Linked DNA regions of Arabidopsis thaliana. The protein of the gene in region 1 purifies or fractionates together with the protein of each later gene. This does not show direct contact. Each region holds a gene or a part of one and is shown in the gene's direction. Other genes may lie near its edges.

Region 1 (4,305 bases):
TTTGGATGCTGTACTGGTTTATCTGACTATTCTCGTGAAACTTTCACAGTTTGTGGCAGGAAGTTCATCGGAAGTTCTCGTCACATCTGCAGATTCACGTACGCGTGTTGTTGATGGTGTTGACCTTGTTCACAAGTTTAAAGGTAAACAATACTAAGCTTAAAACTCTCTTCTCCATTCTTAGAACTCGGGAGTTAGGAATAACTTTATTGTTCATGGAGGTGAATTTCTCGCTCTATCGTCATCTAAGATACACATGAGTCCCACATTTCATGAACATGATGTTCTTTCGCTTTTTCTTGATCTGGTGTTGGAGTAAAATAAGCTCAACGTTCTTGCCAAGTAATGTGTGTTTTTCTGAGTTTTAGAAAATTTTCGGGTTCGCAGGATTTCGCAACACGAATAGCCAAATCTCGGCTTCACTTACATCAAACGGGAAATTCCTAGTATCAGCAAGCGAAGACTCTAATGTGTATGTATGGAACTACGACTCAGACTCTCGAGCAGGAAGAAGCAAACGTGTCACAGTCACAAACTCATACGAAAACTTTTATTGTCGTGACGTCTCTGTGGCTGCACCTTGGCCTGGCAAAATCAGTAACAACCACACTAACAACAGCCCCGAACAGTCATCCTTCACAGCCAATAATAACCCTCCGACACCTGTCAACGATCCAACCAACAACAAAACCGTCACCAACGGTATCATTTCAAGCGCCACAAACCGATACTTCTTCGATAGAGTCTCAGCAACATGGCCTGAAGAAAAACTCTTGCTGGCTGCAAAAAACCGAGCCAGAACAAGCCCTCGTGTGAGCGTGGACATGTCTAACATACAGGTTAACACAAAACCGAGTGCCTCGGCGTGGTCTATGGTGATTGTGACTGGCAGTCTACGAGGCGAAATCAGAATATTTCAGAATTTTGGATTTCCAGTTCGTCTATGATGCAAGGAGAAGGTTTTACAATATCAAAATCCTAAGGCAAAGTGAAATTTTCCCTTAGTAAAACCATCTCCTGTCAAAAGTGTATAGATTGAGAGAAGGTTTGGTTCATCCACTGACTTCTCTCGTTTTTTTTTTTTACCACGCTTCTTTTATTTATCTGATTTGTTATCTCTAAAATTCAAATCTCTAGCAAATATATATAATGTTATTTTTAAGAAAGATTCAAATAGGCAGAAAAAGAAACTTCATATACCAATATAGTTTGCTTCGATGAAAGTCTGTGCTATTCAACTTGAAGTTTGTAGAATTTGTCTCTGATATTATAACTCTTCAAGGAGAGAATATATGGTAAACTTTTGTATACACATTTTGTAATTGTCTTTAGGTTTATCTTTACATGTAAAATAATTGGGTATTTTTGTCAATTCATCATTTCAATGAACAGTTTTATCTTTAGATCAGAGTGTCCATAACAAGTCAGAGTATAATTTTGTTTCATACCTCTAGGGCTCTAGCTCTCTGTTAATCCTCCCATACACAAAGAGATGGAGTCCCATGAAATTATACATTAAAATATCTACTGACAGAAAATCTAATTCTCGAATTATCATTGGCTTTAAGAAAAGAAACTGACAAAAACTTTCCCTAAAGATAATCTTATCCACACATATCCTAGGAAACACATATGGGAGGGGACCACCTTTCTCTTGTCTCAACTTCTATATAAACTCACGCAAGCACAGACATTTGCATAACATTCACATTACACTCTTTAAGTCTTAAACGAAACAATGGCCCTTCAAGCTGCTTCTTTGGTCTCCTCTGCTTTCTCTGTCCGCAAAGATGTATTTTATTATCTCTTTCTTTGTTTTAGTAATCGTTTCCTTTTTGTTTATGACCTGTCTCGGAGATTAATTCGCATGTTTTGGTTGCAGGGAAAATTAAATGCTTCAGCATCATCATCATTCAAAGAGTCTAGTCTGTTCGGTGTTTCACTTTCGGAGCAAAGCAAAGCTGACTTTGTCTCTTCCTCATTGAGATGCAAGGTACCAAACACAATCTTTTATGAGTATTTTTCTTGGAAAATGATGTAATAATCTAATCAATTGAAATGCTTCTACTTTGTAGAGGGAACAGAGCTTGAGGAATAATAAAGCGATTATTCGAGCTCAAGCAATCGCGACTTCAACTCCATCAGTCACAAAATCTTCCTTAGACCGCAAGAAAACACTTAGAAAAGGAAACGTGGTTGTCACGGGAGCTTCTTCAGGGCTAGGTTTAGCAACGGCAAAGGCATTAGCCGAGACAGGTAAATGGCACGTGATAATGGCGTGCAGAGACTTCCTCAAGGCTGAGAGAGCCGCTCAATCTGCAGGGATGCCTAAGGACAGCTACACTGTGATGCATTTGGACTTGGCGTCTTTGGACAGCGTGAGGCAGTTTGTTGATAACTTCAGGCGAGCTGAGATGCCTCTCGATGTGTTGGTCTGCAATGCCGCAGTCTATCAGCCAACGGCTAATCAACCTACTTTCACTGCTGAAGGGTTTGAGCTTAGCGTTGGGATAAACCATTTGGGCCACTTTCTTCTTTCAAGATTGTTGATTGATGACTTGAAGAACTCCGATTATCCATCAAAACGTCTCATCATTGTTGGATCCATAACCGGTCTGTAGTCTCCTCATAAGAAGAATGCTTTATGTACTTACTACTTACTCTAAACCCTAAATCTGAAATCTTATTCGTTTTGTTTCTTATTGAGCAGGAAACACTAATACATTGGCTGGTAATGTACCTCCAAAGGCTAATCTTGGTGATTTGAGGGGACTAGCAGGCGGGTTGAACGGGCTAAACAGCTCGGCGATGATAGATGGAGGAGATTTTGTTGGCGCAAAGGCGTATAAAGATAGCAAAGTCTGCAACATGTTGACAATGCAGGAGTTTCATAGGCGTTTCCATGAAGACACCGGCATAACTTTTGCTTCCCTTTACCCCGGTTGTATTGCAACGACTGGTTTGTTCAGAGAGCATATTCCTCTTTTCCGTACCCTCTTCCCTCCTTTCCAGAAGTACATCACAAAAGGTTACGTCTCCGAGTCAGAGGCTGGGAAAAGACTTGCTCAGGTTAGAAAATTAACCAAAACCTAACGTTGTTTGTGACGCAAGAAACCATTCTTTCAGTTTATTATTCTTGCTATGTACTCAACCTATGTATTGATTTGTTGAAGGTGGTGGCTGATCCAAGCTTGACGAAGTCGGGAGTGTATTGGAGCTGGAACAAGACCTCGGCTTCATTTGAGAATCAGCTGTCTCAAGAAGCTAGCGATGTCGAGAAGGCTCGTAGAGTTTGGGAAGTCAGCGAGAAGCTCGTAGGCTTGGCCTAAAATTTGATATGAGATTTTTCCTCGGTGTTTCAACCTTTGGTTTGGCTTAAGATGAGAAACAAACAAAAAAGGAGACATTAATAAAGCCTGTAACAACTTTGATTTAGTAGTTGTGTTTTGGCTGATTCTATCTGTAATGAAACAAATAATTCCACTTTTCAAGTTTTTTTTGTCAAAGAACATGAAACAGAGATTGTAAACTACAAGGAGAAGCAGAGTCATACAGCTTTATAACAAAAAGATTAGAAATAAAGAGACTCTAATATCACCTACAATCATATATGTTTTTATTTTTAATTTAGCGAGTGTTCAATAGACCTCAAAACAGAGCAAAAAAAACCGGAGAAAGGAAAAAAAAAAAAAGAAGGAAAGGGACCTGTCAGACCGCCGTGCGACCACCCCGGCAAGGTAGAACCGAGCCGAGTAACGATCCTCTACAGCACCGGATGCGTCCGAAGACGATCGTGGCCGTCAATCACGCTCTAGCCGCACGGTCATGGTTCATCAACCAGGGTAAAAGGCCTGTCTCTTGAGAAATCAAGGAAACAGAGGTACGAGCCTATAGAACAGATCCTGTTCAAGTAAGGTCGTGACCATCAACGCTCTCACAGTCTTATATATTCAAGAAGTTAAGTTTCTAGGCAAGCGATGTGGGACTTTTACGGAGCACATGACATAACTCGATTTGGCGATATACGGGCCAACGCCCACTTAACTTATATTTACGAAAAGCCCAAACTTATATTATTTGCTCCAAATAAAATCCAGGCAGGGTAGAGTTTGCTTTGAATAGTCCCTACTCGGATCCTTTTTAGTGCTCCAGTTTTGCAATATTCTCGTTTTTCTGACCGACATGTTCTCTACTTAGTTTGTAAGTGTTTTACATAATGAAAAGCTTAACTCTATAAAATCAAGACAGTTAGAGTATTACTGTTGATATCGAAGTGAGAATTTGTGATAAAAACTATTGATGTAA
Region 2 (4,213 bases), on another chromosome or scaffold:
TGGAGTTTTTTTTGTTTCAGTTACTATTTGATGATGGATGATTACAGCAGTAAAAAAGAAAAACACATATTAACTACTCAGCCAGGCCCAGCCCAAATCCCTCTCAACGCAGCCAGGCCCAGCCGAATTATGTGACAAAACTAAAAATGATGAAATACACAAAATTTGGAGGATATAAATGTAAAATAACAAAAGCTAAAGGGCGGTTCCAACTATTTCCCAATCTTTATAATATACCCTCGAGACTTTCCAATCTTTCCTTTTTGCCTCAGAGGCCATTGGCGAAGAACAAAGTTTGAACCTTTTCTTCATCCATCTCTCTCCGTCGCTTCTTCCTAACGATTCCTTCACTCGAATCAGGTAAACTATTTACTCTTCTCTTTCTCTTTAGGATCGATTGGAACCCTAGGATCTCTGAGTTTTTCTTTCACATTTAGGATCTATCCCTTTAATCGGCAAATTAGTATGTGAGCTTTTGATGATTTGGGGCTTGAAACCCTAGATTTCAGCTTAATCTGGGTAATTTCATTGGGTTGTGAAATTTCTGTGTAATTGTATTTTGGAGAAGATATTGATTTGGTTAGGTATTAATCAATCTATATTTCTCTGTTATTGGTTTAGGTTTGTGAAGGTTTTTTCTAGGGTTTCGAAAAGATGCCGGCGACAGCAGGAAGAGTGCGTATGCCCGCAAACAATCGGGTGCATAGTAGTGCAGCGCTTCAGACTCATGGAATATGGCAGAGTGCGATTGGTTATGATCCTTATGCACCAACTAGTAAAGAAGAGCCTAAGACGACACAACAGAAAACCGAAGATCCCGAGAACTCGTACGCGAGTTTTCAGGGACTTTTGGCTCTTGCTAGGATTACGGGTTCGAATAACGATGAGGCTCGTGGTTCTTGTAAGAAGTGTGGCCGTGTTGGGCATTTGACGTTTCAGTGTAGGAATTTCTTGAGTACTAAGGAGGATAAGGAGAAAGATCCTGGTGCGATTGAAGCTGCGGTTTTGTCGGGGTTGGAGAAGATTAGGAGAGGTGTTGGTAAAGGTGAGGTTGAGGAGGTGAGTAGTGAAGAGGAAGAGGAGAGTGAGAGTTCTGATTCTGATGTTGATTCTGAGATGGAGAGGATTATTGCTGAGAGGTTTGGGAAGAAGAAAGGTGGGAGTAGTGTTAAGAAGACGAGTTCGGTTAGGAAGAAGAAGAAGCGTGTTTCTGATGAGTCTGATTCTGATTCGGATTCTGGAGATAGGAAGAGAAGGCGGAGGTCGATGAAGAAGCGGAGTTCGCATAAGAGAAGGAGTTTGAGTGAGTCTGAGGATGAGGAAGAGGGAAGGAGTAAGAGAAGAAAGGAGAGGAGAGGAAGAAAGAGAGATGAAGATGATTCTGATGAGTCTGAGGATGAAGATGACAGACGTGTGAAGAGAAAGAGTAGAAAGGAGAAGAGGAGAAGGAGAAGCCGTCGTAATCATTCTGATGATTCTGATTCAGAGTCTTCTGAAGATGATAGAAGACAGAAGCGGAGGAACAAAGTCGCAGCTTCTTCTGACTCAGAAGCAAATGTTTCAGGCGATGATGTTTCACGCGTTGGACGTGGTTCTTCTAAGCGGTCTGAGAAGAAGAGCAGGAAACGTCATCACAGGAAAGAGCGAGAGTAGGAAATCGATCTATATGAGCCATTTTCACTCTCCATTTCTCTCTTATCAATGTTATGTACAATAATGAAACATGTCTTTGTATGTTGGATTTGATTTGTGTTGAAACATGTCTTTGTATTTTCACTCTCCATACTCTGGTTTGGTCTGTTTGTTTCAAGCTTGTGTTATAACACTATTGAGATACTTGGTGTTAATTTGTGTCTTTTTACTCTATTCCATTATTTACGTCGGCAAGTTAGAGCTCACGTCGGCAAGTGTCGTTGTAAAGAGATCACGAGACTTGTGGGTTGGATTTTTGGCATGGCTCTAGCCTAGGAGGACAATGTCGTCATTTAACTGGCTCATTGCTCAATACATATCTCGTCGTGGGTCCTTGTTAATCTCTTCTCCACCGTTGAACCATAGTTTAAAATATCCACCGTTAAAAGCCCCTTTATATCCCAAGAAATAGGTGAACTTGTTACAGAACAAGCAAAGATCAAAGAGAAAAATATCCCAAAACCAAAAACAGAGGAAGAAAGAAGAAGAAAAGATGCCTTCAAGCACATTCTCCGGGACTGTTAGCACGCCGAAGCTGTCGGTGGCAGTGGACATGGGAAACCCTTTTCTCAATCTCACCGTTGATGCCTTCCTCAAGATCGGAGCTGTAAAAAAACTCATCTCTTTTTGATGGATCATTTTGTTAATTTGTGATCTGTTTCTCATTGTTGTTTTCTTCTTTGATGGGTTTTAGGTTGGAGTCACTAAATCTCTTGCAGAAGACACTTACAAGGCCATCGACAAAGGTAAGCCCTTAACTTTATCAAACACAACACATAAGTGTTAGTTCTTGTTCTGTCTAGTTTTATTATGTAACTTTACTGTTGTGTTTTTGGTGATGTTGATGAATTAGTAAAGGCATAGAAGAATGTATTGTATATATATAGAACAACTAGCACACACCTTTGATGGATCTGTTTTTGTGCTTATCATTAATTACCTTTGTTTGTTGGAGCTGCAAAATATCATTTTTTACTCCATGGTTCATATATTGTAGGGAGTCTCTCCAAGAGCACTTTGGAGCATGCGGTGAGTACACTACTGAATCAAATCTATGTGTTTTGGTTTGAAGACATGTGTAATCTTTTTTTAAGTTTCTGAAATTTTTGTTGAATATTGTTGCAGCTTAAGAAGTTGTGTAAAGAAGGTGTTTACTGGGGTAAGTTGCTTTCTAATTTATCTCATTTTTGAGTGATTAAGAAAAGTCTAAAGTTTGTGGCATATGAATATGATCAGGAGCTGCTGGTGGAGTGTACATTGGAACAGAATACGGAATCGAACGTATCCGTGGCAGCAGAGATTGGGTATACTACTAATACATTTTCACACTCTTTTCAATTCTTACAGTTTTGTAGAACTAATTGGTTGAGTTGTTTGTATCAGAAAAACGCAATGTTAGCAGGCGCGGCGACAGGAGCAGTGCTCTCAGCGGTTGGTAAGAAAGGCAAAGACACTATTGTGATCGATGCCATTCTTGGTGGCGCGCTTGCAACCGCTTCTCAGTTCGTTAACAATCATTATTTCTACTGATTCTCCATCTTCCTTTAGGGACCAATTTGGTTCATATGGTGTGGATTCCTTTGTTTACTCTTTAAATAATAATAAAAAACAATGTAGTGTTTTTGAAATGAATACATTCGAGTATTGTTGACGTTAAATATGCAATTTAGCTATTTTCAATATGAGAAATGCCTCGAAATATGAAAATTTGTATAGAGAGTAGTAATGATTTTGTGGTTTCTATAAAACTCTCTAATGTGTATACTCAACCATAACGAGTTGTCCGATGTGTATTTAGCAACTATCACTATAGTTAAAGAGAGAGAGTAATTAAGTCTTTGCCCAAAAAATAAAACGACGTCGCTTTGTCTTTTGAAACAAATAGAAACCTTAAATTCTCAAATCGATTTCATTATCTCAAAATCACAGACTTACTTTGACCTCAAAATCGCAGATATTGAAATCGATTTGGGGATTTAGGGTTTAAATTTGTTTTAACGGACAAAACGAGTTGCAATAAACAATGTTGTTTTGTTCTAACAAAGGAGATAAACGAGACATTAACGCCGTAAAATAATTATGTTAACCTACTCAACGACATGACTCCAATGACAATTCAACAAAAACTTTATCATTTATTTAGAAAGTGAACAAAAACTTTACGATTTATTTGTCTTCCGTGAAATTCAAGATTGAATCGTCCTAAATTTGAAAGTTCGTGATTTTTTTGACATTTTCCCATTTATATATGAGGAAATTGGCTAAAGTATATGAATCTTTGGTTATAGTTAGAAATCATAAATAAATAATTATACATGTTGAATACCACAAGCATATTAGAAACAAAAATATTTATTGTAAAACAGAACAACCAATAATTTTCTTTTAAGAAACTCCTAAAATAGATTGGGCTTTTGATGAATAGATGGGATTAGACTTTGAGCTTTAATTTTGGGCCTTAGTATTGAAGTCTCAACCTACATTTATTTAACAAAGTCTTTATAAAAATAAGTCTCTAGGT

The links.
Region 2: the proteins of PORA (region 1) and OEP16-1 fractionate together in Arabidopsis thaliana (co-fractionation; one study listed by BioGRID). This does not show direct contact.

The regions. Positions count from the first base shown.
Region 1 is NC_003076.8:21,990,207-21,994,511, reverse strand, and holds PORA (protochlorophyllide oxidoreductase A), read left to right. Parts: upstream 1-1,697; 5' UTR 1,698-1,738; coding exon 1,739-1,792; intron 1,793-1,882; coding exon 1,883-1,993; exon of another isoform or gene 1,994-2,075; coding exon 2,076-2,613; intron 2,614-2,710; coding exon 2,711-3,069; intron 3,070-3,173; coding exon 3,174-3,329; 3' UTR 3,330-3,648; downstream 3,649-4,305. Other genes in the region: AT5G54200 (Transducin/WD40 repeat-like superfamily protein), read left to right, coding at 50-143, 388-947. UniProt on the Arabidopsis thaliana protein: Phototransformation of protochlorophyllide (Pchlide) to chlorophyllide (Chlide). PORA may also function as a photoprotectant during the transitory stage from dark to light.
Region 2 is NC_003071.7:12,413,432-12,417,644, reverse strand, and holds OEP16-1 (outer plastid envelope protein 16-1), read left to right. Parts: upstream 1-1,983; 5' UTR 1,984-2,185; coding exon 2,186-2,299; intron 2,300-2,386; coding exon 2,387-2,438; intron 2,439-2,689; coding exon 2,690-2,721; intron 2,722-2,817; coding exon 2,818-2,851; intron 2,852-2,928; coding exon 2,929-2,996; intron 2,997-3,075; coding exon 3,076-3,222; 3' UTR 3,223-3,537; downstream 3,538-4,213. Other genes in the region: CXIP4 (CAX interacting protein 4), read left to right, coding at 655-1,653. UniProt on the Arabidopsis thaliana protein: Voltage-dependent high-conductance channel with a slight cation-selectivity; selective for amino acids but excludes triosephosphates or uncharged sugars.